Linked DNA regions of Arabidopsis thaliana. The protein of the gene in region 1 interacts with the protein of each later gene in a pairwise test. Each region holds a gene or a part of one and is shown in the gene's direction. Other genes may lie near its edges. The genes, in order: AT3G26370, AT3G59740, AT4G19645 and AT3G02880.

What was found.
Region 2: the proteins of AT3G26370 (region 1) and AT3G59740 interact in a protein complementation assay, tested with the Arabidopsis thaliana proteins (one large-scale study listed by BioGRID).
Region 3: the proteins of AT3G26370 (region 1) and AT4G19645 interact in a protein complementation assay, tested with the Arabidopsis thaliana proteins (one large-scale study listed by BioGRID).
Region 4: the proteins of AT3G26370 (region 1) and AT3G02880 interact in a protein complementation assay, tested with the Arabidopsis thaliana proteins (one large-scale study listed by BioGRID).

The regions. Positions count from the first base shown.
Region 1 is NC_003074.8:9,653,669-9,661,415, forward strand, and holds AT3G26370 (O-fucosyltransferase family protein), read left to right. Parts: upstream 1-3,011; 5' UTR 3,012-3,217; coding exon 3,218-3,526; intron 3,527-3,701; coding exon 3,702-3,752; intron 3,753-3,844; coding exon 3,845-3,935; intron 3,936-4,105; coding exon 4,106-4,182; intron 4,183-4,306; coding exon 4,307-4,395; intron 4,396-4,488; coding exon 4,489-4,608; intron 4,609-4,783; coding exon 4,784-4,900; intron 4,901-4,996; coding exon 4,997-5,140; intron 5,141-5,228; coding exon 5,229-5,352; coding exon of another isoform or gene 5,353-5,415; exon of another isoform or gene 5,416-5,440; coding exon 5,441-5,632; intron 5,633-5,713; coding exon 5,714-6,073; 3' UTR 6,074-6,277; downstream 6,278-7,747. Other genes in the region: AT3G26350 (proline-rich receptor-like kinase), read right to left, coding at 1-1,062; AT3G26360 (Ribosomal protein S21 family protein), read right to left, coding at 2,295-2,304, 2,410-2,705; AT3G26380 (Melibiase family protein), read left to right, coding at 6,472-6,551, 6,647-6,800, 6,885-7,142, 7,223-7,397, 7,487-7,548, 7,630-7,747. UniProt on the Arabidopsis thaliana protein: Glycosyltransferase involved in the biosynthesis of pectic type-II arabinogalactans.
Region 2 is NC_003074.8:22,065,123-22,072,034, reverse strand, and holds AT3G59740 (Concanavalin A-like lectin protein kinase family protein), read left to right. Parts: upstream 1-2,976; coding exon 2,977-4,956; 3' UTR 4,957-5,048; downstream 5,049-6,912. Other genes in the region: AT3G59750 (Concanavalin A-like lectin protein kinase family protein), read left to right, coding at 214-651, 738-2,180; AT3G59730 (Concanavalin A-like lectin protein kinase family protein), read left to right, coding at 6,156-6,912.
Region 3 is NC_003075.7:10,687,868-10,695,531, reverse strand, and holds AT4G19645 (TRAM, LAG1 and CLN8 (TLC) lipid-sensing domain containing protein), read left to right. Parts: upstream 1-2,700; 5' UTR 2,701-2,719; intron 2,720-3,510; exon of another isoform or gene 3,511-3,540; intron 3,541-3,569; exon of another isoform or gene 3,570-3,771; coding exon of another isoform or gene 3,772-3,858; exon of another isoform or gene 3,859-4,045; intron 4,046-4,136; 5' UTR 4,137-4,233; coding exon 4,234-4,347; intron 4,348-4,434; coding exon 4,435-4,523; intron 4,524-4,592; coding exon 4,593-4,734; intron 4,735-4,830; coding exon 4,831-4,905; intron 4,906-4,972; coding exon 4,973-5,170; intron 5,171-5,255; coding exon 5,256-5,315; intron 5,316-5,462; coding exon 5,463-5,591; 3' UTR 5,592-5,774; downstream 5,775-7,664. Other genes in the region: AT4G19650 (Mitochondrial transcription termination factor family protein), read right to left, coding at 366-2,144; ARA7 (Ras-related small GTP-binding family protein), read left to right, coding at 6,083-6,121, 6,466-6,543, 6,627-6,794, 6,881-6,929, 7,054-7,127.
Region 4 is NC_003074.8:631,187-638,603, forward strand, and holds AT3G02880 (Leucine-rich repeat protein kinase family protein), read left to right. Parts: upstream 1-3,278; 5' UTR 3,279-3,632; coding exon 3,633-4,923; intron 4,924-5,110; coding exon 5,111-5,428; intron 5,429-5,521; coding exon 5,522-5,796; 3' UTR 5,797-6,098; downstream 6,099-7,417. Other genes in the region: ILR1 (Peptidase M20/M25/M40 family protein), read left to right, coding at 807-1,166, 1,261-1,386, 1,635-1,949, 2,042-2,170, 2,275-2,673; GASA5 (GAST1 protein homolog 5), read right to left, coding at 7,137-7,318.

The DNA.
Region 1 (7,747 bases):
GGTATTGCATCTTCTAGCTCGCATAGCTCCTAAAGGAGGACCATTCAATGAAACGCTGCAATGAGTATGCAACTTATAAGAGTACCTAAACAATGGTCCTATATGCGAACGTGCATGAAACATTCCTCTCAGGTTCAACAAAACCGGACCTGTTTCAATCTGACGCTGCAGCTCCCGGCTCTGCGTTGCCTGAAGCTGGACCTGACTGCTCACAAGATGAACATTCGCAAACATTGACGTTTTCTTAGGAACCTTGAAAGGTTCAATGTATTGAGTTGCTATGAGTGTGTTGTAATAGTAAAGCTCGAATGTCACATAGCTAAACTCCACACTACTTTTCTTGCTTGGGTTTGTGACGTTTGCTAAAATGGTTAGATCACCGTTTAGAAGAAAACCCATGTCGAGATAAGCAGCGTTTAGGTTAGCAGCTGAGATGTCGACGTAAGGTGAGCGAGGACGGTAGACGAGGTAAACGATTAGGATGATAAGACCGCCGAGAATAAGAATGACCCAGAATATTGCACAGCAAAATGCAGCTGACCATGTCATTGCGTTTGTCTCTCTTGAGGGTGGTGGTAACCGTGGGCCACGGCGGTGATGCGGGGATGGTGTTGGAGCGGTTCTCCATGGACTTGGTTTGGGTATTGGAGGTAATGTTGATCCATAACCCCCTCCGTTGCGTTGTGGTGCTTGTGGTGGTGGAGGTCGTTGTTGTTGATTATCTTCAGGGCTTAATAGCAATGGTCTTTTCGATGAGTTTTGAGTTTTTCGTGGTGGAAGTCTCTCCTCTGGGCTTAATGGTACAGGTATTACAGAATGTTTCGGTTCTTGGATTGGATTTTCACGGTGGCGACCACGAGTCTTGATTAGGATTCCTGGTGGAGCTACTGGGTGAGGTTGCGTGGTTTTGTGGTGCGATTTTTTTGGGTGCGGAATGGGCGGGATGTGTGGTTGGTTCGAAGATGTTTGTGAGGTAGAAGCACCACCGCTTTTGAGATGTGGATTCTGCGATGGAATTCGCGCAAAATGAGGGTTAGTTTCATGGTGATGATGATGAGACATTTAGATGAAGAAGCTAAAAAGCATCAAAGGAAACTAAGTTAAGTAAGACTTGAGATGAAAGAATGAGAACAGAGAGATTTTGAACTGTTTTAAGTTTCTAAATGAGATAGAGAGAGGGAGAGAATAACTTGGTGACAAGTTCAAGTAAGGATTCTTTGTTGTAGAAAACAAAATAAAGAAGGAAAGTGATAGCACGAAGCAAGTAATCTTTGTTGTAGATTCCTTGCACTAAAATTAAAATCAGTTTCTAATCTCATGAAAAAGTATAAAAACATTCTCTGTATCTTTTTCTCATTCAAAAGTTTTTTTAAGAAAATTGTAATTACTCGGTCCAATTTATCTAAAACCCAAATAAAAAGATCTCGATTTTAGGAGAGACAGGGTTAAGGACTTACAGTAACAGTCATGAATATGTCAATCTTTCTACTTCAGCTCACTCCAGGGGAAAGATGTTGATTCTCAGAGCAACTTACGAAAACTTGTCGAATATGTCAGTAAACTATGAACATGTTAAGATATGTCTCCCATAGATCAAGAAGGCCGCAGATTAGTTAGCGCAAATCTGATGCGAAACACGTTGCTTCTGCAGGTAGATACTCTGTTCTCTGCTCAATTTCTGCAGCATCAAACATGAAACCAACTCTGCAATGCCGGTTACTGCAAACGTTGACAAAGACAACTACCAATCGAGCCTGACCAAACAGATACTAGTAAAAAAGCTGGAAGCAAACTGAAAACTAAACCCATACAAAAGGTATTTTCCACGATCTTCGGTGCAATTGTTCTTCCTATATCTCTTATCCCCATTCTTTGGCATGGCATGGTATATAGTAACATGAATATACATAAAATGAAAGTGTAAACGCCTGGAAAGAGCTAACCTACGCTTTACACGCGAAGAAAGCAGAACAATCTCAGAGTAATCATGGCCGGAACAAGAAACACAATTCAAGCACAGAGACCCACAGAACACAGTCATACAGAGTGCAGGAGAAGCAACGCACTTGCCCTGAAACAACTTTCAATACATGTACTCCTAAGATCTGATGTTCTTTCTCAAGATCATTGAAAACTTACGAAAGAGAAGCCATAGAGTAAACAACTAATCAAATCCAAAATTCCAATTCCACATTGATTCAACTCATCAAAAGTTCAAAATGTAAAACTGTGTTATATCACACACAGATACTAGTACTGATCAACATAGCAGCACTCTTGCTTCACCTCAGCTCTCATAAACCTCTGCAAAGAATAACAATAAGAAATACGCAAGATCTTACTAAACTAAACAACACCATTAAAACCCTAAAAAATGTGAAGCTTTTGAGAAAAATCAGAAAACATTACCTGACTTTCTTGATGAGGATTGATTGGAGTTTTCGAGCAAAGTCAATGGATTTGATTCTGCGTTCAAGATTCTTCCTAGCGAGAACCTTCTTCTCCGAATTCTTAATGTGATGAGTCTGAGTCCCTTTGATCAGCCTCTCCATTCCACTCGATTGCATCTTCTTCTGCAAAATCGTCAGTGCCTTGTCTAAATCATTGGAGAACACCTTCACTCTTATCCCTCGCTCTTGCTGCAACTGCTGGTTTAGACTCGGACGAGTCACCAACCCCGTAACTCGCTTCGCTATCGTGTTCATCTCTTTTACTTGTTTTCTGAAAAAGTATGTTTCTGAAAACGTAAATGAGATTGACGAGAGACAGTGATAGGATCTGAATTCGACTTACCGGTCGGAATCTCGCCGGAGAGAATCAAAGAGCCAATTTGAGTGATGATGGAGAATGTCTAGGTTAAAAAAGAGGCGATGGAGGAAATGAGATAAAAACCAGAGAATTTACTAATATAGGGGTGGTTATGTAAGTTTTATGAGATATAGGGATGTTTTTGTAAATATCCTTAAATCTAATCTTCTGTTTGATTCAGAGAGTATTGACTTTAAAGAAGAACATTCAAGCCTTTCAAAAAAAAAAAGCTTCTTTAATTTCTCTCTCTCTCTGTGGAGTGTTCGAATCTCCAAGCTCTCTCTCAAATGGCAGCGTCCACATAGTAGAGCTGAAGAAGCACTGTATCTATCTACAGAGAAAGTGAAGAGGAAGAAAAGGAAGAGAGGATATAGAAATTAAGCTGGCGACTTTTAGTCCGAGGCGAGCAATGGCAGAGTTACGGCACTCGAGCTCTCTCGGTAGCCGATCTTCTTCTTCTCCGTTACGTGCCGCCGGAGATGAGGATTCTTCATCGCCTCATGTACACGATCACTCTCCTAACGGCGGAGACGACGAAGATGGTCGCCCACGTCATCCTTCTAGAGATCGAGACCGTCCGATCTGGTTTCACTCTTTGTTTCCTTTCTTCGGTGATGATCCTAGGGTTTCTCCTCAGAAGAATAAAATCTCGCTTCTATTGATTTTGATTCTCGCTATTGCTAGCTTGATCTCAGTTTATGGGATTATTAATCACTTGGTAAGTCTCTTCCTTCGATCTAGGAATTGAGATCTTCAAGGCTCTATGTTCTAACTGTGGAATCGATTTGGAAAAGTATTTAGCTTTGTTTTGAGTAAAGGGGTTTGTTTATTTAGGTGGATTTGGATTGACATTGTTCTCAGACTAAGATTGCTTCTATGTCTATCTTCTGCAGAATGCTCCTTATTTATGTAAAAAAGATGGGATTGTGCTAAACTGTCCTCATGTAAGTGTTTGAAAACTTTGGTTATGTGTTTTGTTGAATGCATAAGCTTTGAATCCTGTAAATTTAATTGTGTGTTGGTTTGCATTTGTAAGGTAAAAGAGTCACCTTCTCCTTGGGAGAATCCTTTATCTGCAACAACTTCTTGGAAGCCTTGTGCTGAGCGGCGGATTGGTGGAATCTCAGGTATTGAAGGGCTAGAGCATTGTCATTTTCATTGTCATGTGTTATTTTTTTTTTTTATTTTTTTTTTTTCGTCGAAACACATTGTCATGTGTTATTGATCTGTCTTTTCGTGAAAGTTCAAGTCTTTTTCCTTGGTTAGCTTATTAGATTGTGTCAACTGTTTTTTTCAGATCTTCCTCCTGAGAATGAAACAAATGGCTATGTATTCATTCATGCTGAAGGTGGTTTGAATCAGCAGCGAATTGCTGTATGTATCTTCCAACTTTTATCTCTTTTTCTTCTCGCCATTATCCAATCATGGATCAATGTCTAAATGGCTGTTGTTCTTCTTGCCATCGTCCAATCTTGAATTCATGCCCTTTTGTTTCCAGATCTGCAACGCAGTAGCTGTTGCCAAGATTATGAATGCAACACTGATTCTACCAGTACTGAAGCAGGACCAAATATGGAAAGACACAACGTAAAATCATATTCAGATATTGATTTCATTTCATCTTGAATTACTTCTCTATTTTCTTTTTGGTTTACTGAGCTTGTTAACTTTCTTTTGCAGAAAATTTGAAGACATTTTTGATGTAGATCATTTCATTGATTACTTGAAGGATGATGTCCGAATTGTTCGAGACATACCTGACTGGTTCACTGACAAAGCAGAGCTATTCTCTAGTATAAGGTTTGCTTGTCAACTCATTATTTGTTGATGATGTACTTGTTGGACGATTTCAAAAGTTAGCTTGTGGAATTATGGCGTCACTGGGTGCTCCTTGTGTATATCTCTGATTTAAAAATCGATCTGTATTTTTTAATCAGATATGATGTTGACCAAGTTATTTATTTATCTTCTGCAGAAGAACAGTCAAAAACATTCCCAAATATGCAGCAGCCCAATTTTATATTGACAATGTTTTACCTCGGATAAAGGAGAAGAAGATAATGGCCTTGAAGCCTTTTGTCGATCGACTTGGGTATAACCAATATTCCTATAGTTTAGTGCTCAGATTTTGGAAATCGTCTTATAAACAATGAATGATTTATTCTTGTGATGCTGGAAATTTTTTCAGGTATGACAATGTACCTCAAGAAATCAACAGATTACGATGCCGTGTAAATTATCATGCTCTCAAATTTCTTCCAGAGATAGAGCAGATGGCTGATTCACTTGTTTCTAGAATGAGAAATCGCACTGGAAATCCAAATCCATATATGTATGCCATATCAGAGATTCGACTTTGTTATAACTTAGGACCATATGCATTATATCAACTTAAAACTATACCCATGTCTCTTGTATAGGGCTCTTCATCTTAGATTCGAGAAAGGAATGGTTGGTCTATCGTTCTGTGATTTTGTGGGGACAAGGGAAGAGAAAGTTAAAATGGCAGAATACAGACAAAAGGAATGGCCTCGGCGTTTCAAGGTGACATTTATAAGCAGTTGTCAACTTCTTTTGGTGGCTAAACAACCTCAACCGCTACCTTAATGAAATTTCTTGACATATATTGCAGAATGGTTCCCATCTCTGGCAGCTCGCCTTGCAGAAGCGCAAAGAAGGTCGATGCCCTCTTGAGCCAGGAGAAGTTGCTGTGATCCTACGTGCAATGGGCTATCCAAAAGAAACACAAATCTATGTTGCATCTGGTCAAGTCTATGGCGGTCAAAACCGTATGGCTCCACTAAGAAACATGTTCCCAAATTTGGTAAGCACAACACCGGACTCTTATAATTCTTTGATGAATCAGCACAAACTTGTCTCTCACATTAACTGTCCTTTGAATCAGGTAACAAAGGAGGATTTAGCAGGCAAAGAGGAACTAACAACGTTTAGAAAACACGTTACAAGTCTTGCGGCTCTAGATTTCTTGGTGTGCTTGAAATCAGATGTATTTGTGATGACACACGGTGGAAACTTTGCAAAACTGATCATCGGAGCGCGTAGATATATGGGGCATCGCCAGAAATCAATCAAACCGGATAAAGGGTTGATGTCGAAATCATTTGGGGATCCTTACATGGGATGGGCAACTTTTGTGGAAGATGTAGTTGTAACCCATCAAACACGAACCGGTTTACCTGAAGAAACTTTCCCTAACTATGATCTTTGGGAAAATCCTCTCACTCCATGCATGTGTAAAGCTTGATGATGATGCTTTTGTTTGGTCTTGGATTTTGTCTGATGAGGAGCAACAAACTATAGAGATTCGTAGTTTTCTTCTTCTTCTTCTTCTTTTTTGACCTTTCAAATCTTTGAAGTCTTCATTTACCATCTTTGTAATCATTTTGATATTATGTAAAGTTCCTAGTGATGAAAAAAAAGTTTCTTTTTTATATTAAATTTGATCAAATTGATGCACTAAACTTTAATTAAAAGAAAATTAGCTCAACGGTTACTAATCCAATTCTTAATTTTTTGTCACGCTCTCTAATAGTACCCGCCATTAACACAACCATTGCGTGTTGTCTTCTCTCTTACTCTCAGGTTCTCAACAACAAAAGAGGAAAACAAAATCAGAAGCTATCGTAATCAGTTCTCATCTCTATGACCGGACTATCCGTAGAGAAAACCGGGTCGACCCGGTCCACTGTCTTCTTCATCATCTTTAATCTATCCATTTTTAGGTACTCCGCTTCACTGGGTTTTTGAATTTGATTTTGGTTTTTGAGTGGGTGGTGTTTGAGTGATCGATCAATCACAAAAGTTTCGTCTTTTTCAGTTTATCGATTGAAGCAAGGTCGAGGCAACAACATGCTAGCTTTCCTCCAAGAGGATGGAATTCGTACGATTCCTTTTGTTGGACTATCTCTGAAGCTGAGTTCTTGCAGAGTGCTGAAATTGTTTCTAAGCGTCTTCTTCCTCATGGTTATCAGGTAATTGTGAGTTTCTTTATCCTTTAGAATGTAAAAGTTTAGGTTTTTAATTGCTTGTGTTTGTGTGTGTTGATTTGGATACAGTATGTTGTGGTGGATTACCTTTGGTATAGAAAGAAAGTTGAAGGAGCTTATGTGGATTCTCTTGGGTTTGATGTGATTGATGAATGGGGAAGATTGCATCCTGATCCAGGTAGATGGCCATCTTCTAGAGGCGGTAAAGGTTTCACTGAAGTTGCTGAGAAAGTTCATAGAATGGGTTTGAAGTTTGGGATTCATGTTATGGGAGGAATCAGCACACAAGCTTATAACGCAAATAGTCTCGTTATGGATAGTGTTAAGGTATTGAGTTGATTGATTCTTTCTGAGTTTATGAAGTTTGTTTGGAAGTTATCAACAAGTGAATCTTTTAATGGTTGAAGGGAGGTGCTTATGAAGAATCAGGTAGACAGTGGCGAGCGAAAGATATTGGGATCAAGGAGAGGGCTTGTGTTTGGATGTCGCATGGGTTCATGAGTGTGAATACCAAGTTAGGTGCAGGAAAAGCATTCTTGAGGTCTCTTTATCGTCAATATGCAGAATGGGGCGTTGATTTCAGTAAGAGAATCGACTTCATTTCCGTAACCTTCTTTAACTTTATTCGATATATGATTATCTCAATCTTGTCTCACTTTCTTGGTCTTTAGTAAAACATGACTGCGTATTTGGCACTGACTTCAATATAGAGGAGATAACTTATGTGTCAGAGGTACATATTTGTGATAACTACCAATCTTCTGGTTAAAGTCAGAGGTACATAGAGATGAAACATTGTTCTTATTTGTCGCAGGTTCTAAAGGAGCTTGATCGGCCTGTTTTGTACTCCATATCTCCAGGGACGAGTGTGACACCTACAATGGCTAAAGAAGTTAGCCAATTGGTTAACATGTATAGAATAACGGGTGATG
Region 2 (6,912 bases), about 12 Mb from region 1:
TTACGACTTGGTTTAGGCCCCATGTGTGTGTAAATACATAAATTTTTAATATGAACAACGCGGAAATCCATGTGAACGTTCGTTTCCATTTTGTTCGACCCTACTTTTGCAGTTTGGAATTCTTTTATACTCTTACTTAACTCTCAATGAGATGATAAAAATATCTCATATGATCAATTTCTTCCCATAAGCAAAAACAAAAAAAATCCTAACATGCCTAGTGAACTCAAAGTCTTGCATATAGTTCTTGTTCTGCTCTATACTCTGTCTTCATCTACTTACAACTCCAATGGAAACTGGACCCTGGAGGGCTCTGCAGCTGACAACTCCATTGGTGACACCATTTTAACGAACACCAAGAAGCATTCCTGCGGTCAAACTTTCAACAACGAATCCATTCCCATAAAAGATTCGTCTTTCAGCTTCCACTTCCTCTTTGGAATAGTACCTGAGCATACACAGTCCGGTTCACATGGCATGTCTTTCGTTATCTCTCCTACAGCAGGCCTTCCAGGAGCTTCCTCCGATCAGTACCTCGGATTATTCAATGAAACAACCAACGGTAAATCATCAAACCACGTTATAGCTATCGAGTTAGATATACAAAAAGACCAAGAGTTCGGAGATATTGATGATAATCATGTTGCAATGGTTTGACATCTGTTGTTTCTGCTTCTGCTGGTTACTATGATGATAAAGATGGAATCTTCAGAAATCTTTCTTTGATCAGCGGAAAGGTAATGCGGCTTTCTATCGTTTATAGTCATCCTGATCAACAGCTCAATGTTACTTTATTCCCGGCTGAGATCCCTGTTCCGCCACGGAAACCACTGCTGTCTTTGAATCGAGATCTCTCCCCGTATTTTTTGGAGGAGATGTATTATGGCTACACGGCATCGACTGGATCCATTGGAGCATTTCATTATATGTTGAGTTCGTACGCTACTCCAAAAGTTGAGAATCCAACATGGGAGTTCATCGTAGTCCCAACCCTTCCTCCATATCCGAAGAAATCGTCTGACAGAACAAAGAAGATTTTAGCGGTCTGCTTAACGCTTGCTGTGTTCGCTGTGTTTGTCGCCTCGGGAATCTGTTTTGTCTTCTATACGAGGCATAAGAAGGTTAAGGAGGTTCTTGAGGAATGGGAGATTCAATATGGACCTCATAGGTTTGCCTATAAGGAGCTTCTCAATGCCACAAAGGATTTCAAGGAGAAACAACTTCTTGGAAAAGGAGGCTTTGGTCAAGTCTTTAAAGGAACGCTCCCGGGTTCCAATGCAGAGATCGCTGTAAAACGGACTTCTCATGATTCAAGACAAGGCATGAGCGAGTTTCTAGCCGAGATATCGACCATTGGTCGTCTCAGGCATCCAAATCTAGTCAGGCTTCTGGGATATTGTAGGCATAAGGAGAATCTCTACTTGGTTTATGACTTTACGCCCAATGGAAGCCTTGACAAGTATCTAGACCGTAATGAGAATCAAGAACGGCTCACTTGGGAACAACGTTTCAAGATCATCAAAGATGTTGCATCTGCTCTACTACACCTGCATCAAGAATGGGTACAAATCATCATTCATAGAGATATCAAACCAGCTAATGTCCTAATCGACCACGAAATGAATGCAAGGATCGGGGATTTCGGATTGGCAAAGCTGTATGATCAGGGACTTGACCCTCAGACATCTAGAGTAGCGGGAACATTTGGTTATATCGCACCTGAGCTCCTAAGAACAGGAAGAGCGACCACAAGCACTGATGTTTATGCCTTTGGGTTGGTAATGCTTGAAGTTGTTTGTGGTAGAAGAATGATTGAGCGACGTGCACCGGAAAATGAAGAAGTTCTTGTGGATTGGATCTTAGAGCTTTGGGAAAGTGGGAAACTTTTCGATGCAGCTGAGGAAAGTATCCGTCAAGAACAAAACAGGGGAGAAATCGAGCTTCTTTTGAAGCTAGGTCTGTTGTGTGCACATCACACTGAACTGATTAGACCGAACATGAGTGCGGTTATGCAGATCTTGAATGGCGTTTCGCAGCTTCCAGATAATCTTCTTGATGTCGTAAGAGCTGAGAACTTGAGAGGAATGCCTGAAACATCAATCGAAGTACTACTTGGTCTTAATCTGTATTCAGTTGGTACAATGACATTAACAAATTCTTTCTTGTCCCATGGACGCTGAAACCGTTAAAGAAGTTAGTTTGAATGAACAGTTACATTCAAGCTTTTGTATCGTCTATTTGATGAATCACTACATTAGGGTTTCTTTATCTTGAATCAGTAAAGCCTTCCGTTTCATCCCCAAGTTCTTATATCTTAAATTTTTAGGACTCAACATATAATATGTTTTGTATTTTCTGCTTTCAAAGTTTTCTTGTTGGATTTGTTTAAGAAACCGAACTTTCAAGAGCAATGGCGTCAAAACAAAATGGCGTGAATTGCCAAATCAGTGACATATAACCAAAAACATTCTAAACTACTTTGATGTTGTTACACTACATAGGATTAATCTCAATATATAATGATCAAACCATGACAAATTAGTGACATATAACTTCACTTTTGCCTTCAGACCAGTAGAGAATTTGTTAGAATCTACACTAAATTAAAAATGTTAAACATACGTTGTTTTTTCTACAAAATGGTTGTGGAAAAATAGCTTTGTTGGATTGCTGCTTTTTAATTATGCTTTTCACACTGTTGTTATTAGTAATTTAATACTTCAAAGTATTAAGATCGTAGAAAAGTTCTGTCTTTTGACGACACGCTCTACCAGTCCCACTATAATTGCTTTACGACTTGATCTAGCTCATGTGCTTAAATACATATGTTTTTTTATTACTAACGAAGAATAACAAAAATAAAAAGAAAAAAAGAACGTTGGGTTCCCATTATTTTCGACCGTAATTCTTATGAGATGATAAATATTACATTAAGATCATAACCTTCCCATAAGCCAAAAAATAACAAACAAGAACATGTCTCATAAAGTCTTACAAATAGTTCTCGTTCTGTTGCTTACTCTGTTTTCATCTACTCACAACTCCAATGGCAACTTCCTCATGGAAGAAGCTGCAGCTGCAGGTTTAAACGGTTATTGCCTTTTAACAAACACCACGAAGCATTCCTACGGTCAAGCTTTCAACAACACTCCCGTTCCCATCAAGAACTCATCTTTCTCATTCAACATCATCTTCGGGATCGTCCCTGAACATAAGCAGCAAGGTTCACACGGTATGGCTTTCGTTTTCTCTCCTACAAGAGGCCTTCCCGGAGCTTCCCCCGATCAATACCTGGGAATCTTTAACGAGACAAACAACGGTAAAGCCTCGAATAACGTTATAGCTATCGAGTTAGATATACGAAAAGACGAAGAGTTTGGAGATATTGATGATAATCATGTTGGGATTAACATTAATGGTTTGACATCTGTTGCCTCTGCTTCTGCTGGTTACTATGATGATGAAGATGGAAACTTCAAAAAGCTTTCTTTGATCAGCACAAAGGTAATGAGGCTTTCCATCGTTTATAGTCACACCGATAAACAGCTCAATGTTACTTTATTACCTGCTGAAATCTCTGTTCCGCCACAAAAATCGCTCTTGTCTTTGAACCGAGATCTCTCGCCCTATTTTTTGGAGGAGACGTACTTGGGTTTCACGGCATCGACCGGGTCGATCGGAGCACTCTATTATGTGATGCAATTTTCCTATGAAGAAGGAGTTATATATCCAGCATGGGACCTTGGCGTAATCCCAACCCTTCCTCCATATCCAAAGAAGTCGTATGATAGAACACGGAGGATTTTAGCGGTCTGCTTAACGTTGGCCGTGTTCACTGCATTAGTCGCTTCCGGAATAGGTTTTGTCTTTTATGTGAGGCATAAGAAGGTTAAGGAGGTTCTTGAAGAATGGGAGATTCAGAATGGACCTCATAGGTTTTCTTATAAGGAGCTTTTCAATGCCACAAAGGGTTTCAAAGAGAAACAACTTCTTGGGAAAGGAGGCTTTGGTCAAGTCTACAAAGGAATGCTTCCGGGTTCCGATGCAGAGATCGCTGTAAAACGGACTTCTCATGATTCAAGACAAGGGATGAGCGAATTTCTAGCCGAGATATCGACCATTGGTCGTCTCAGACATCCAAATCTAGTCAGGCTTTTGGGATATTGTAAGCATAAAGAGAATCTCTACTTAGTTTATGACTTTATGCCTAATGGAAGCCTTGACAGGTGTCTAACCCGTAGCAACACGAATGAAAATCAAGAACGGCTTACTTGGGAACAACGTTTCAAGATCATCAAAGACGTTGCAACTGCTCTACTACACCTGCATCAAGAATGGGTACAAGTCATCGTTCATCGAGATATAAAACCGGCTAATGTTCTACTCGACCACGGCATGAATGCGAGGCTCGGGGATTTCGGATTGGCGAAGCTGTATGATCAGGGATTTGATCCTCAGACATCTAGAGTAGCGGGAACATTAGGTTATATTGCACCTGAGCTCTTAAGAACAGGAAGAGCAACCACAAGCACAGATGTTTACGCCTTTGGGTTGGTTATGCTTGAAGTCGTTTGTGGTAGAAGATTGATTGAGAGACGTGCAGCAGAAAATGAAGCGGTTCTTGTTGATTGGATTTTAGAGCTTTGGGAAAGTGGGAAACTTTTCGATGCAGCTGAGGAAAGTATTCGTCAAGAACAAAACAGAGGAGAAATTGAGCTTGTTTTGAAGCTAGGTCTGTTGTGTGCACATCACACTGAATTGATTAGACCGAACATGAGTGCGGTTTTGCAGATCTTGAATGGCGTTTCGCATCTTCCCAATAATCTTCTTGATGTTGTTAGGGCTGAGAGATTGAGAGGAATTCCTGAGACATCAATGGAAGTACTACTTGGTCTTGATCTGAATTCTTTTGGTACAATGACGTTGACGAATTCTTTTGTGTCCCATGGACGCTGAAACCATAAAAATAAGTTAGTTTTGATCAAACATTTATATTCCATCGGGAGCTTCTGTATCCGTCTATTTGATAAATGAGTACATGTTTCTGTATCTTTGAATCATGAATGCCTTCCAATTCATCCCTAAATTTCTAGGGTTTACTTTTAGGGTTATAATATGTTTGTTTCATTCTTGCTTTCAAAGTAATCTTGTTCGAATTTGTTTATAAAACCAAATTTTCAAGAGCAATGACTTATAACTTAATTAACTTTTTTTTTTCTGTAGACCAATACAAAATCTGTTAAACTTTACATTAAAACATGTCAAAAAACTTATTTTTTTTACATTTTATGGTCAACACGTTGGTTGTTAAACTTACATTGTTTATCCATTTCTACGCTCCGTAATGTTCGACGGATTAGGTTGTAGAAAAGATAAGAGAAGCTTTTTTGACCTTTTTATTTCTTTGGTAGAGATCTGAGAAGAAAAGTTTTTTTGATTATTGCTTATTATGCTTTCCACTATAATCGCTATTTAATCTTAGCAAGAATTAGAAGATTTGTTTTCTTATAATTGATTTACGACTTTATCTTGGCCATGCACAGTGCGTAATTACTAAATAGTGTACATGTGTTTTTTCTCTCTTAAGTTTGCTTACTTATCTTAGTTCGTTGGCCGCATATAACATGAATATTCATTAGATAAATAATTAACAGCAATAGGTAAACAGCAACAATAACAATAGTTTAAGTCCTAAGACTAATCAACACATTAATGGAACGATAAGAAGAGATTCAAGAGAATAATTAACAATAATGTTTTGTAAAAAGAAGAAAAAAAATACAAAAAGCAAATAGGATGTCATAATCTCATAACCAATATAGCAAAATTTCAGTAGTAAAATAGGTTTGCAAACCTAACATGGGTCCGCTTCTACACTCTGACAATCCCACAATAATTGCTATTATTAATTGAAAAATGATCAGAAGATTATTTGTTTATTGTGTTGCGGTTTGATCATCTAGGCCATGTGGGTAATTAAATACAAACTACATATGTTTATGACATGACCAGTTTCGTTCACATTATATTGGCTTGATCATATTCATACAGTTTTACTTATTTTTATGTTGTATCTTCTTACATAATTCTTCTGATAAATATCACATTACGATCAAAACCTTCCCATAAGCCAAAAAAAAAAAACGAACAAGAACATGTTTAGTGAAGTCAAAGTCTTACAAATAGTTCTTGTTCAGTGGCTTACTCTGTTTTCATTTACTTACAACTCCCATGGCACATATATCCTGGATGGATCTGCAGTTTTCAACGAAAATAGTTACTTGGTTTTAACGAACACCACGAAGCATTCCTACGGTCAAGCTTTTGACAACACAACATTTGAAATGAAGGACCAGTCTTTCTCCATCAACTTCTTCTTCGCTATTGTCCCTGAGCATAAGCAGCAAGGCTCTCACGGTATGACTTTCGCTTTTTCTCCTACAAGAGGCCTTCCCGGAGCTTCCTCCGATCAGTACCTCGGATTATTCAACAAAACAAACAACGGTAAAACTTCGAATCACGTGATAGCTATAGAGTTAGATATACATAAAGACGAAGAGTTTGAAGATATTGATGATAACCATGTTGGGATTAACATTAATGGCTTGAGATCTGTTGCCTCTGCTTCTGCTGGTTACTATGATGATAATGATGGAAGTTTCAAAAATCTTTCTTTGATCAGCGGAAAGTTAATGCGGCTTTCGATCGTTTATAGTCATCCGGATACAAAGCTCGATGTTACCTTATGCCCTGCTGAGTTTCTTGTTCCGCCACGCAAACCACTTTTGTCATTAAACCGAGATCTCTCGCAGTATGTTTTGAAACACATGCATATTGGCTTCACAGCATCTACGGGATCCATTAGAGCGCTCCATTATATGGTGCTGGTGTACACATATCCTGAAGCAGTCT
Region 3 (7,664 bases), on another chromosome or scaffold:
ATCATCAGTACTGTCTCCTTCGAATGTTATGCGTGTCCATCTGTTTGTTTACAGGACAGATGTTGCAGGACAGATGTTGTAGGACGGCTAAGGAGGAATATTCCAACAAACAATTTGCAGATCTTCTCAGTACTATCTAAAGAATATTTCCAATGAATTCACGCAACATTTTAGATCTGCATCAAATCTGTAACTCAGCACATACTTCATTTGCTCTTTCACAAGCATCGGCTAACACTAATGGATCTCTCTGTTCCGGAATTCTCCAAACTCTTCCTTTTGATTCATTAGGTGGCATTGATATCAAAAACCCTTCACTGTCTCAGTTGTACTAAATTCAAGAAATAGTGCCAATAACCTTAACTTCAGGTAGATGATTGGTTTATACTTTCCCAAATGGCTGGACCTTCAGGGTGGACATTGACAAAATACTTCACAAACCGGGCATCACCGCAAGTGAGAATAGTGCTTGGTGACAGCATTGGCTTTGCTGCATCTCTTTCCCTCAACCATAAATACATTGAGAATCTGTGATGTATCCTCTGCATATCATAACACAGATATGCCGGGAACCTTACCAATGATTCAATTGGATAGCCAAGAAGTTCGGTTAAGGAATGTATCTTTTTCTCTATGACATCTTTAGACAGGTTAAGTATCATCGGAGCATGCCTGATGATCTCAGTAACCACATTATAGTTTAAACCGGCTTTCACAAGGCAATCAAATCTCTCCTGTAGCTGATCTCCCCTCCCTCGAAACTGTTTTAGAGCCTTCACCATCTCATCCGAGTTTTCTACATACCCTAGCCTCAACAAAAACTCTGTCTTCTCTAAGTATTTCCTCGAGTCTTCCGAAAGAGGTTTGCTTTTTCTCTTCTTCGTTGTAGAAACAAAACAAAACAATCTCAAAGGCTCTTTCTTTAAGATCTTACATAGCTCGTCTTGTTTAACATTCAAACTAAGACAAGCAGTTCTAGGTGCTGGCAGAGAGCATGAACCAATAAGCTCCATATGACTCAGCAAAATCTTCGTGATAAACTGCGTTTCCATTCTAATAGCAATCAAGAAATCCAACGTCTTCTGAATATTTTTCACGCATTTGTCTGACAACATCTCTGGATTGTCTATAAATAGCCTATAAATCTCATTCACTTGAAGCCCCGCTTTAAACAACCTACCAAACAGAACATAGAATTTCTTTCCGGAGCCTTCGATTACCAAAGCTGGATACGTTTTCAAAAGACTACTCAACTTCTCCTCTTTACATCCCACTTTATCAAGAAACTCTATTGTCTCCAGAATTCTGCGCCAGCTATATGTTTTCCGGTCAGACAAGTACCGCCCAAGCCAATCACATCCTACTTGTAACCCTTTCAACTTATCAACTACAGAAGAAAACTCAGCATCAATCCCACCAACCAGTAGCAAAGGGCAACTAGTAACTAACTTAATAACTGTAGCCTTACTAAGACCCAAATTCTCATAACCCCTTAGCTTCATCGCCAACATCCCAGATTCATATCTAAAAATCTCTCTCGCTTCTTTATACATACGGCCAATCTTACCACGCGGGATCCCATAGTTGCAAAGAGCATGAAAGTTCTCAAACATGATACCATCATCACTCAAAAACATTAGCTTCCGTGGAAGAAACGTTTCAAACTCATAAGGACACAAACCCAAACTCTCGAAAAACGGTTCAAACTCGTTTATCGGATTGTACCTAAGGAACTTAGTCAATCCCTTGGATACATCTTTCTGATTATCATCAATCTTAGACAACAAAGTCGACATAAAACAAGGAGAATTCTTACTTATATGCTCTGCATCAGTAAAAGTAAAGCTTCTAGTATAATGCAAGTAATCAAAAAGAGCTTCTTGAGCTTGATTCCTACTAGCCCTTGATACCGGATTAACGAAAAACCTAGTTGGTAAGTGAGACGAGTGTTGTTGTAACTTAGATTTATCCTGACGAACACAGCTTTCAATCTGAAAACTCCGAAATGGAACTGAAACACGAGAAAGGTCGAACCTTTGAACTGGGTTTTGACGAGGAATAGATGAGAAAGTTATACAGTAGTTGAGATTTGAAATCATATTCAACAGTTTATGAACTCTTCTCTGATTTCTGGATAATAACATCGCAACCTAACAACAAAGAGAAACAGGTGAAAGTCACAATCAAATAGAGAGCTATGAAGAATTCTCAATGCTTACTCTTTCAAGTAAGAAATTTACCTGAAATTAGGGCTTATTAAGCATTTGAATCAACCATTTTCCCAAGATTCTTAGGGTTCATAGCCAAATCTCAGTTACTTTGCTTAAACCTTGTTCTGGCTTCAAATTAAGGTGGAAATTTCAGAGAAGCCCCTAAACGTTTATAATATATCCGAAACGACCATAATCTTATTTTTCTATACTTCAATATGTGCCTAAGAGTTTCCGAAATATCATAAAGGTACCAATTAGTGCATCATCAACACTTGGCCTTAAAAGACTTGACGTGAGATATTATTATTCCTCTTTTGATACCGAATTAATAGACTTGTCAAGTTTAGACTTGTCAAAAGTGATAAACATATCACACGAAATCGTGTTATTATCACGAGCGTTACAAATTCTTCAAGTATATCACTATAAAACGACTTCAAAACCCAACCAAGTGGTGATTTCTTTGAGCTGACTATATGTATGCAAGATAAAGGCAGCAAGAAACGGTGAGTTTTCTTCACGAGCATAAATGGTTTGTTCGTCTTTCTGATTTTTGATTTTATAGATATGTAACTTTTTTATTAGGTCAATTTCAAGTGGTCCATGGTAGATTCAATTCATGTTAGGTCATCATCTTCAAGCTAAAACGCCTACCAAACATATAATAACAAGTATTCTTTTAATCACTAGTTTTAGTTTCAAAATATTTCTGACTATCTTAAGTGCATTTAGATTTTAGTTCAACATGATGGAAAAAGATAACTTGACTCTTGTTTAACTTGCATATGTTTTGTTTGACTATTTGTTATGTTTGAGAGGAATGATTTTTCTTTGTAAAACAGCTTTATATAAAACTTGTGGCTTACTCGGATGAATTTTATATTTGTTTTGATTATTTTTCAAATGTTGTTTTTTTCAAAACCTTTTGACAGTAAATTACAATATAAATTATTTTCAAAGATCTTAATATGTCTTATTTAAGTGAATTTTTAATTATAATTATAAGTAAATTATTAAATATAGATTATAACAATGAAGTTAAATCTTATTCACTATATCTTTAAATATTTTTTTCTCTTATTTTTTTAATATTTTATTCACTATTTGTAACAAAATTATAAAAGCCAAAATTACCAAATTTCTGCAAGAAAAAACAAAAAACAAATCCTTGGCTCCTCCTAAAATCCACCTACCTTACCCTTTTATATATAAGATACAACCAAAAACAAGATGATTTGGTGCTTTCAATATAAAAGATATAATATTTCATAATTAACATATTCTCCCTTAGGTTTTCCTGCACACTCGATTTAAATCGTCTAACAAGGTCAGAATCCATAATTTATACAACCATTTTCTGCTTCCTTTGTTTCCTCCCTAATTACATGTTATTAACTATTAAGCATATCCTTAAAACAAAACCCAAACTGAATTATCTTTGTCAATAGTTGTCTTCTCTCTCGATTATTCTTAAGATAACTACTTTGGTAGTTTTGTTTTTTTAATTACTACTGCACCCTCTTGCGCTTCAAGTTACTTGGTAAAAAACTCTCTTAACTTTGGATAATTTCTCGAAGTCTCTGAAGAAAGAACCCTTTTTTTCTTCTCTCATAATCGTCTCTGTAACGTCCTTCTCCTTCTTCATCTTCTTTGCGTTTCTTCTGCAGCCTTTTGCGGTTCACGTGTTGATTGCTTCTGTCTCTACTTTTTGTCCGTTTTAAAGTTTAAACTTATTGTTACAAAATTGGATTTTCTCTGATCAAACGATAAAAACAGAGTCTTTTAGTATCTTCTTCTTGGGTATAACGAAGATTTTTGTGGTTTCTTCTGATGTAATTCACAAAACCATTTGTATAATCCTTGAAAAGACTTTTTGTTCAGAAATGAAGTTTCTTACTTTGCTCTTTCTTTTCTATATTTCAGTAATGATGATGATAAAGCTTGAGAGAAGTGATTAGTCTGTAGAAGAAGAAGAGTTAAAACCATTCACCAAAGAAGAAATTGAGAACTAGAGACAGTCATGGAGATCAAATCTTACCAAAATCAAGCAGAGTATTTTGTTGAACACTATTTATTAGCAGATCCATTTCTTCCATATACTTCTGTTCTTGTTGGAATCTGTCTTTGCAAATTGGTAAGTTTTGCTTCTCTTCACTTACAATTGCAGAAACTTCACTTTTTTCTGCATTCTGTTTTTAAACAGTGTAGCTTATGTTCTTAGGTATATGATCTTACGGAGTTATTCAGCTCAATTCATGTCAAATCATACTCAGCTCTCACAAAAATAAAGAGAATTGAATGGAACAACAGGTATGTATAGGTTCCTTGTTTCAGCCTTTATATGTTATGCTCTAGTCTCTTATCACTTTGGCTTGACAGGGGAATTTCTACAGTCCATGCGATCTTTATCTCATTCATGGCATTATACTTTGCGTTCTTCTCTGATTTGTTTTCTGACCAAAGAAGCCTTGAAACCCTTACGGTGTTTCGTAACTCGCCTCTGTCTACCTTTGGTTTAGGAGTAAGTTTTGATCTTTCTTCATTTTATCTCACAAGTCCTACTCATGAGCATTGATCAACTTATATGGTACTTTGTTGTGATGTGTTTTTTGCATAGGTATCAGTTGGTTACTTTCTTGCGGATCTTGGAATGATCTTTTGGTTATACCCTTCTTTAGGAGGATCAGAATATGTAAGTTAGACACATGAAAGCTTATGTGGTCTTCAATTACTTGACAATCTTGTGTTTTTTGTTTCAGATATTACATCACTGCTTATCTGGAACAGCAGTAGCGTATTCTTTGTTCTCTGGAGAGGCTCAGCTTTACACATACATGGTTTTAATCTCTGAAGTGACTACACCAGAGATCAATCTTAGATGGTACCTTGACATTGCTGGTTTGAAACGATCTAAAGCTTATCTTGTTAATGGAGTTGCTATATTCTTTGCTTGGTTGGTGAGTTTCTTAAAACCTTTGTTTTTCGTTGTAAATGTCTGAAAACTTGATCTCCTTTTTTATAGCAATGATGTTTTGTTTGCAGACAGCAAGAATTCTTCTGTTCATCTACATGTTTTACCATGTCTACACACATTATGATCAGGTAATCAAGATTTCGGTTTGATTATCTCTAAACCAAACGGTCTAGCCTTTAGGAAAAATAGGAATTACTCTGTTTTTTTTTTTTTTTTGCTGTTGTATTGGTTAGGTTTAGAGATAATGAATTGATGATCAATGGATTTTTCGGCAGGTGATAGAGATGCATACATTCGGTTATCTACTGGTATTTGTTGTACCGATTTCATTGAGTGTCATGAACTTGATCTGGTTTGGTAAGATAGTGAAGGGATTGAAGAAAACTCTTGAGAAAAGACAGTGAAGAAAGAGTTGTGTTTTTTTTTTTATGTAAATATAAAACTCTTATGAAGAATCTTACAAGTTTATAAGCAACAAAGATATGGTTTGTTTCTAACTTTTAGCTTATACACTAATTATGTTCAAAATCTCATTCCCATTATTCCCACAACAGTCCCTATGCATGCTGAATACTTAAATCCATGTACGAAATCAATAGAGGACTTAACCCAAAAAGACTTGGGCCTAAATCTACATTGGGCCAACGATTATATTCGTAGTTTTTTCGTGTCATATTAACTTGCCGTGTAATATTTGTTTACTTGTATTTTTTGTTAGTTCTAGAAAGAAAGCAACATTAATTGAGGAGGAGGAGATTGGTTGTTGTTGACGACGCGTTTCCGCTCACTAATTTTTTTTAACCTTTTTGTGTCTCCGTCGTCTTTTGATCTTCAATCTCAGTTTTGAGCTGAAGATTATCGTATCGACCTGCGATTCTCTTCAGATCGATAATCCATGGCTGCAGCTGGAAACAAGAGCATTAACGCCAAATTGGTCAGTCTTATTAGCTCGATTCTTTTGAGTTCCCTTGTGGTTGGTTTGTCTCTCTCCGATGATCGTAAAATTGATTGAATTTGCAGACCCGTTTTGTTAGATTTTCAGTTTTCTGGATTTGATTCTGTTTCTAATTTGGAGAATTTTGATACGTGATGTTGAATTGGAGAGCTTTGATCAGATTTTGTTGTTAGGGTTTATGTTCGATTTTGATTTAGGTTTTTCCATAATAGGGTTTTAGGGATTTATCTGAACACGGTGCTTGCAAACAGTGTTGATTTGGTTTCTGTTTTTTTTTTTTGCTTATTTTGATTTGTTTCTGTGTACTTGGTTAAGTCTTTCAGGTGTTGCTTGGAGATGTTGGTGCTGGAAAATCAAGTCTTGTGTTACGGTTTGTCAAAGATCAGTTTGTTGAATTCCAGGTTAATGGCTCTTCTATTGATGTTTATGTTGTTGTTCACATTCTGTGTGTGCTTCTTGACTTTGATATATGTTTATGTTATAGGAATCAACCATTGGTGCTGCTTTTTTCTCACAAACGTTAGCTGTGAACGATGCCACTGTGAAGTTTGAGATTTGGGATACAGCGGGTCAGGAACGGTACCATAGTTTGGCTCCAATGTACTACAGAGGTGCTGCTGCTGCAATCATTGTTTTTGATGTTACGAATCAGGTACATAATAAATTAAGTAGATGCAAATGCAATTTAGTGGCATTCTATTAAATTAAGTTTGTTTGATTTTCTTGCTATCTTCTTAGGCTTCGTTTGAGAGGGCAAAGAAATGGGTTCAGGAACTGCAGGCACAAGGTATTGTATAGCTGAGTTCTGGATTTGATAGTTCTTTGTTAGTTTATGACTTCCAGTTGCAGGCACCGTCAAGCTTTAGTTTCTGTCTGTGGGTTTTACTGAATAAATGTATTTGTGTGAATAGGTAACCCTAATATGGTCATGGCCCTTGCTGGAAACAAATCTGATTTATTAGATGCAAGGAAGGTGACAGCAGAGGTAAGCAAGTCCTTCTCTGTCCTGACTGATTTTTCTCATTATGAGGTTAGGATTTTACTGTCAAATATAAAGTTGAGCTATGTGTGTGTAATAGCTGATCATCATGTTGAACGTGTTAAGCTGTATTTTGAAATTTCACATGTCACGTTTGACAGGAGTCAGAACATTAGGTGATATCTCTTTGTTGTAAAATTACAATCTACCTTATTGACATTAACCTGACAAACCAAGCCACCTAAACCGACCCCACACACTTAACAAATCATAAATTAGGCTTGTTGTATAGACAGTTAATGTTTCATTAAGAAGTATAGTGCAGTTTTCTCTAACCAGCTTTGGAGAATGATATATATGTTTTCATATGACCTTTCTTATCCCGCAATCCCGCAAGTCCATATTTTACTGTCTTATGCCAAAAGCCTAGATTTTAGATAAGTAGCATTTCTCAAGACTGATCCTTTTGAAGTATCTGTTAGAATCATTTACGTTGTGCATTAAAGTTCAGTTGTGACTTGCAAAGGACAGAAAAACACAGTT
Region 4 (7,417 bases), 9.0 Mb from region 1:
ACAATTTGCATTTTGGTTGTATGTTTGTGATTGTTTCATAGGTCTATTCCACAACTTTTTACCTTTTTTATTTTTTTACTCTCCACAACTTTGTACCTATAACTAAATAATATAAAGTCACAATTTTGTACGGATATTCTGATGTTTCATTAGTCATTTACATTTTTATTGATTATGTTCGCATGTACAGCTACTTTCGTAAACAGCTTCTTTTGTACGAATTGTTCTAGAGAATTTTCGATCATAATCAAAATATAAACAAAATGTTTAACAATGCGCTTCAAATAGGTGGGCCTTTGTTATAAGTAATTTAAAAGTCGAAGAACCCAATGGCCTATATGTCAATCAAATACATGGGCCTATGTTATAAGGAATTAAAAATTTAAGAACCTTAAAGGCCTACATGTGATTCTCACAACTCTAATTCATGCCATGTTTTATTTTAAAAGTGTTAATTTTCATTAACATAAATGGTAAAATCGTGTATTAAACGTACTAATTCATTTCAAGTAAATATTCCTTTTATACCGTAAATATACTACATTGTATCATTTTCATATTTTATCTTTGGTATTTCATTATTTTCTTCACATTACAACCATAAATTATGAATTTCACATTAGAGGCGTATACGTATTTAAAAACGATTAAAAGAGTTTCCAAAAACGTGTGTAAATTACGTACTATATAAATATTAAAAATGGATCGGTGATCCAACTCCTTCTCCTTCATCATCATCGTATTCACCGTTGTCCTTTCTTTCATTGACACTTGCCAGTTTACATCGACAAACAAAAGAAATCAGAATGGATTTCTCAGGGAGCTTCTTTGTCATCTTCGTTACCTTCTTCTTTCTCCCTCCTCTGTCTTCAGCTGGGAGCTACGATTCTGGTTCGGGTCTCGAGTCACTCGCTCGCGGGATGCTTCATTCAGCCAAGGATCCTGAGTTCTTCGAGTGGATGAGAGGAATTAGGAGAAAGATTCATGAGAACCCAGAGACAGGGTTTCAGGAGTTCAAAACGAGTCAACTCGTTCGAGACGAGCTTGACTCGCTTGGAGTGAAGTATAAGTATCCTGTGGCGAAGACTGGCGTCGTCGCTTGGATCGGATCCTGTTCGAAACCTGTTTTCGGACTTAGAGCCGACATGGACGCACTTCCGTTACAGGTTTGAAATCTAATAATCAAAGTTCCGATTTTTACTCTGATTTTTAGATTGCTTTGTTTGACTAATGAATTTGAAAAAATGGGGACAAAAAAAGGAATTAGTGGAATGGGAATCGAAAAGTAAAGTAGATGGAAAGATGCATGCTTGTGGTCATGATACTCATGTTGCTATGCTTCTTGGTGCTGCTAAGCTTCTTCAAACCACAAAACACCTCATCAAGGTCTCTCTTTTTTCTCTTTCACTCAATTTATATGTATAATTTTGAATGATTCTGTCTGTGCCCTGCAATTAAAACTCATTTCGATGTGGGTTAGTGTTTTCTAAGATTCTTAGATATATGTGTGTGTATGTCTTTGATTGCTAATTGTTATGTGTGTGTGTTTTCTAGAGTTGTTAGTGTGTGTGTCTTATGAGAGTTTGGTGAATCTTATGAGGGTTTTGAACGAAAACACAATTTTTTTGCAACAGGGGACAGTAAAACTTGTGTTTCAACCAGGCGAGGAAGGTTATGCAGGTGCTTATGAAATGCTAAAAGACGAGATTCTAGACGACTTAGATGGGATACTCAGTGTTCATGTCTTTCCATCGATCCCATCAGGTGGTATTGGTTCTAGGCCTGGGACCGTTCTTGCAGGTGCAGGATTGTTTACAGTCACGGTTCACGGTCAAGGTAGCCACGCAGCTACACCGCACTTCTCTAAAGACCCGGTTCTTGCAGCTTCTTCCGCTGTTGTTGCCTTGCAACAGATTGTTTCGCGGGAACTGGATCCACTCGAAGCTGGTGTAAGTTTGCTTTCCACTTTCAAAGCATTGGTGTTTGATGAATCAGAATCTTGGCTGAAATCAGCGGAGATTGGTTTTTTTATGTTTCTCAGGTGGTTACAGTTGGATATATTGAAGGAGGTCATGCTCAAAACGTAATACCGCAGAGTGCGAAATTTGGAGGTACTTTCAGAAGCTTAAGCAACGATGGGCTTCTATTTATCCAAAGACGGATCAAAGAGGTAAAGAGATTGTTTTTTACACCATTTTTCTATACAATCTTGTTCTACTATTCGAATAATGTAGGTCCCTAACCCTGTTTAAATGTTTCTTGATGATGATGCAGATTTCAGAGGCACAAGCATCGGTATACCGATGCAAAGCAGAAGTAAACTTCGAAGAGAAAAAGCCGTCGCTTCACCCGGTAATGAATAACGACGAGGGCTTATACGAGCACGGTAAAAAAGTAGCGGAAGCGATGATTGGAAAGAATAACTTCCATGATTTCCCGGTGACAATGGGAGGAGAGGATTTCAGCTTCTTCACTCAAAAGACTAAGGCTGCGATTTTCGTGCTGGGGGTAAAGAATGAGACGCTAGGCGCTGGTAAGCCGCTTCACTCGCCTTACTTCTTTGTTGATGAAGAAGCTCTTCCTGTTGGGGCTGCTCTTCACGCAGCTATGGCCGTTTCTTATTTGGACGAACATGGTCATAGCCATGAAGAAGAGGTTAAGAGTGAATTATAGAAGGTGTTGGGAGAAAATCAGCTTATATTAGTCATCATCTATTTGTATTTGAACTTGAAAGTTAGGTGAGGTTAGGTTTCGGGTTGGGAAGAATGTTTGTTAATAGTCACGAGAAACCAACCACTTCTATTAAAATAAATTTGATGTAAGAGTTTTAAAAATTGAACAATTGAAATCTTCAAAATGAATACCACTTCTTAAGTTCTCTGTTGACCATTTCTATTACCTTCCTTTCAAATTGATACAACAAATACATAAAAAAAAAAAAAAAATGTCTATGGTACAAACTTATATCAGAAATAAAAACGGTGTCGGAGAGGCTAATCTTTGTTTGTCAACGGTAGCTCAGACACATTTGACAGACCTGGCATGTCTTTGGTCACACTCAACCTGCAAAAAAAAAAAACATAAAAGAAACAAAACGATAACGACCATTAATTTTTTAATTAGACCTAATTTATTGATCTAATACAAAAGAAAGGAAAAACAGAGGTCGTTTAAACGTCTACAAAAAACATTACTGCAGTGATTTATTGTCATTTATGTAACGCAAATATAGTTGACTCTGATAAAATTGTTACAACTAGTATTCATAAGTCATAACCTTATAATTAATTAATTATCTTTCTGTAAATTAGCTGTCAAATTAAATACATAAGATTCTCTTTTAACTTTTTTGTCAAAAAGGAAATATTCCAATTAGTAACTTTTCTTTTTTTCCTTTTTCTCTGCAATTATGACCATTTTCTCTCTCTTAGCCGGCTCTAGAGAGAGAAGAAAGACAGAGCTGAAACTCTTGTAAACCAAAAAACACAAAAGTCTCTTTGTTCAAACACTCGTTTACGCGTAGCCGAAATAAATTTTCCAAAAACCCATATCCGAAAAAGTCGATATATTTATTGAATTTTTGGAACCAAGGAGACGAAGAATTTACACGGTTTTTGAAGAAGAAGAAGAAGATGAAGTATAAGCGTAAGCTAAGTCTCTCTGTTGTCTTCCTCTTTGTCTTCTATCTCGCTGCGGTGACTTCAGATCTAGAGTCTGACCGGAGAGCTTTACTCGCTGTTCGTAACAGTGTCCGTGGCCGTCCTTTGCTATGGAACATGAGTGCTTCTTCTCCTTGTAATTGGCACGGAGTCCACTGCGATGCGGGTCGGGTCACGGCTCTCCGATTACCCGGATCTGGTTTATTCGGTTCTTTACCAATCGGTGGTATTGGTAATCTAACCCAGCTTAAGACTCTTTCTCTCCGGTTCAATTCTCTCTCTGGTCCTATCCCTTCGGATTTCTCCAACCTTGTTCTCCTCCGTTACTTGTATCTTCAAGGTAATGCCTTTTCCGGTGAGATTCCGTCGCTTCTCTTCACGCTTCCGAGCATAATCAGAATCAATCTAGGGGAGAATAAATTCTCGGGTCGGATCCCGGATAATGTCAATTCTGCGACCCGGTTGGTTACTCTGTATTTGGAGAGGAATCAACTCTCTGGTCCGATCCCTGAGATCACGCTTCCTCTTCAGCAATTCAATGTTTCTTCTAATCAGTTAAACGGGTCTATTCCGAGTTCGTTGTCGTCTTGGCCTCGAACTGCTTTTGAAGGTAACACTCTCTGTGGGAAGCCTTTAGACACTTGTGAGGCAGAGAGCCCCAATGGTGGTGACGCTGGAGGACCCAATACGCCGCCGGAGAAGAAAGATAGCGACAAGTTATCCGCCGGAGCTATTGTCGGGATTGTGATCGGATGTGTTGTTGGTCTGTTACTGCTTCTTTTGATTCTGTTCTGTCTCTGTAGAAAGAGAAAGAAAGAAGAGAACGTTCCATCTAGGAATGTTGAAGCTCCTGTCGCTGCTGCGACTTCCTCCGCTGCTATACCAAAGGAAACGGTGGTTGTTGTCCCGCCGGCTAAGGCTACGGGGTCGGAGAGTGGTGCGGTGAATAAAGATTTGACCTTTTTCGTGAAATCTTTCGGGGAATTCGATTTGGATGGATTGTTGAAGGCTTCAGCTGAGGTTCTTGGGAAAGGAACAGTTGGGTCGTCGTATAAGGCAAGCTTTGAGCATGGGTTAGTGGTGGCTGTGAAACGGTTAAGAGATGTTGTGGTGCCTGAGAAAGAGTTCAGAGAGAGATTGCATGTTTTGGGATCAATGAGTCATGCCAATCTCGTGACTCTGATCGCTTACTATTTCAGCCGTGACGAGAAGCTTCTTGTCTTTGAGTACATGTCTAAAGGAAGCTTGTCTGCGATATTGCACGGTATAGAATAGTAATCTCCATTTGTGCATTTGTTTATTTTTAGGGTTCTTAGTTTAGCTGATGCTAGTTTGTGATCTTGATGGACCTGGTTTGGCTAAAATTGACACTGATTACTGAATTGTTTCATAGTTAGTTTATCTTATGTGTCTTCAAGCTCGGTTTTGAAGCTCTTTTAATGGATTTGTAGGGAACAAAGGAAACGGGAGAACTCCGTTGAACTGGGAAACCAGAGCCGGTATAGCCTTAGGAGCTGCAAGAGCGATTAGCTACCTACATTCGCGTGATGGGACAACTTCTCATGGAAACATTAAGTCCTCGAACATACTATTATCTGACTCCTATGAAGCTAAGGTCTCTGATTACGGTCTTGCTCCCATCATTAGTTCTACATCTGCACCTAACCGTATTGATGGCTACCGTGCCCCTGAAATCACTGATGCTCGCAAAATATCCCAAAAAGCTGATGTCTATAGCTTTGGCGTCCTAATCCTTGAATTACTCACAGGTAACAAACAATCAAGGATAGATATATCTTTTTAACTGCTTTTTTTGCAATTGCTGTGGTTTCTAGGTTTTAACATGGAACATTACATTGCAGGTAAGTCTCCAACGCATCAGCAGTTGAATGAAGAAGGCGTAGATTTGCCGAGATGGGTCCAATCTGTTACCGAGCAACAAACACCGTCCGATGTGCTTGATCCCGAGCTCACAAGGTACCAACCTGAGGGCAATGAGAACATCATTCGTTTATTGAAGATCGGTATGAGCTGTACGGCTCAGTTCCCAGATAGTCGTCCTTCGATGGCTGAAGTCACCAGACTCATTGAGGAGGTTTCTCATTCATCTGGCTCCCCAAATCCTGTATCCGACTGATTTTTTGGGGGTCTAAATTGATTGATTTGAATATTGTTTGGGGTCAAGTTGCAATTTCTTGAATAGTGTCGACCCCACTTCCCGCCTTTTTTCTACTTCTTCTTCTTTGTTCTTGTTCTAGTTTGTTCGTTAATTCTTGAGCCTCAAATTGAGATGAGACCTATCAGTTTCTTTTTTTCTTTCTTTCTACTTTTCTTTATTTCCAAAGTTTTAAAAATGTCTATAAAACTATTGCTTTTGCTAATTTTTGTATAAATATATAGTTGATTGCGTGTGAATAAATTGGTTTTTGTTTTCTTCTTTACACATCTTATCCCAGAATCCTAGTCAACGATTCAGCCAAAAAACAATGTCAACGAGTTTTATTTTTTATCGCCGTCCAAAATTTTGAGCCAAAAACAAAGTCAACGACAAAAGTGGTCATGAATATCGTCTCACGATTGACTGACAAATACTTCACGATTTGATTAGATATGAAGTTTTATAATGTGAAGTTGGTAACCACTAACTAATAACCCTACTTCACAGGAGAAAGAAAAAACATTTTAGATATGAAAAAACAACATTGACCCAGAAAGATATATATTTGCTTAGAGATTTTGTATGAAAGAATTACTAGTGCTGATAAACTATTTAGTTCAAGCTTAAAGGGAAATCGATTAGATAATTTTTCGAATTATTTGAAGAAAACATATTGTGATCTGGACTTATAATTTTTCATGTGATATACCATTTACACCGAGTCATGGGCAGTTGCCACAACTTTATCTCATGTTCCAACTCGTACCAGACTGGGTACATATGCACATGGGGTTCAATAAATTTATTAGTGGGATACTCTTTGACATAAAACACTATTAGGAAAAAATGGAATTAAAACCTATTCATAAATTCATATAATTACGCACGTAAATAATGTTTTTCACAGTAATATTAGAATTTGACCTTAGCAAGTTGATGGTTTTTAAACCGTGGAAGCAAATAGAACATGACTTCCACATACAAACATCATCAACACTAGAGATAAATCATAGATATAGAAAATCATATTTATGACTGAAATATTAACAATTACAACTTAATGGGCTTTATGGCTACATTTTTGTAGGCTCAAATCAATTGATAATGAAGCCCATTTCATAAATATGTAACCATAATAAGTTCGGCCATGACACATTGGGCGGGCTTACACGTATAACAAACACAACAGTTAAGAGCAAAAGACACAAAAAAAGTGTAGAGACAAATCGCCAACTTGTAGAAACAGATTAAAACAGAGTAGTAAGTGTTTGATAATCCAAAACTAGATGAATATTATCAAATATATCTAAAAAGAAGTTTTAAGGACATTTTGGACGGCCTTCTTTAGTCTTCCAGTTGTTGTAACATGGACAAGTTTGTTTGTTGCCGAAAGTGCCAGGAGGAACACAAAGACATTTTTTGCAACACTTGAGGCAAAAGAACATGCATGGCTTCTTGTGTGATGTTGCTGAACAACGGAAGCTACACTTTGAGTTGCACTCTACAATTGAAGTTTCCATCAAAAAAGCATATCACAACAAACAAACAAAAAACAAATCATTGAGATCTTTATGTTCATGCTTATAATTCACAGCATACA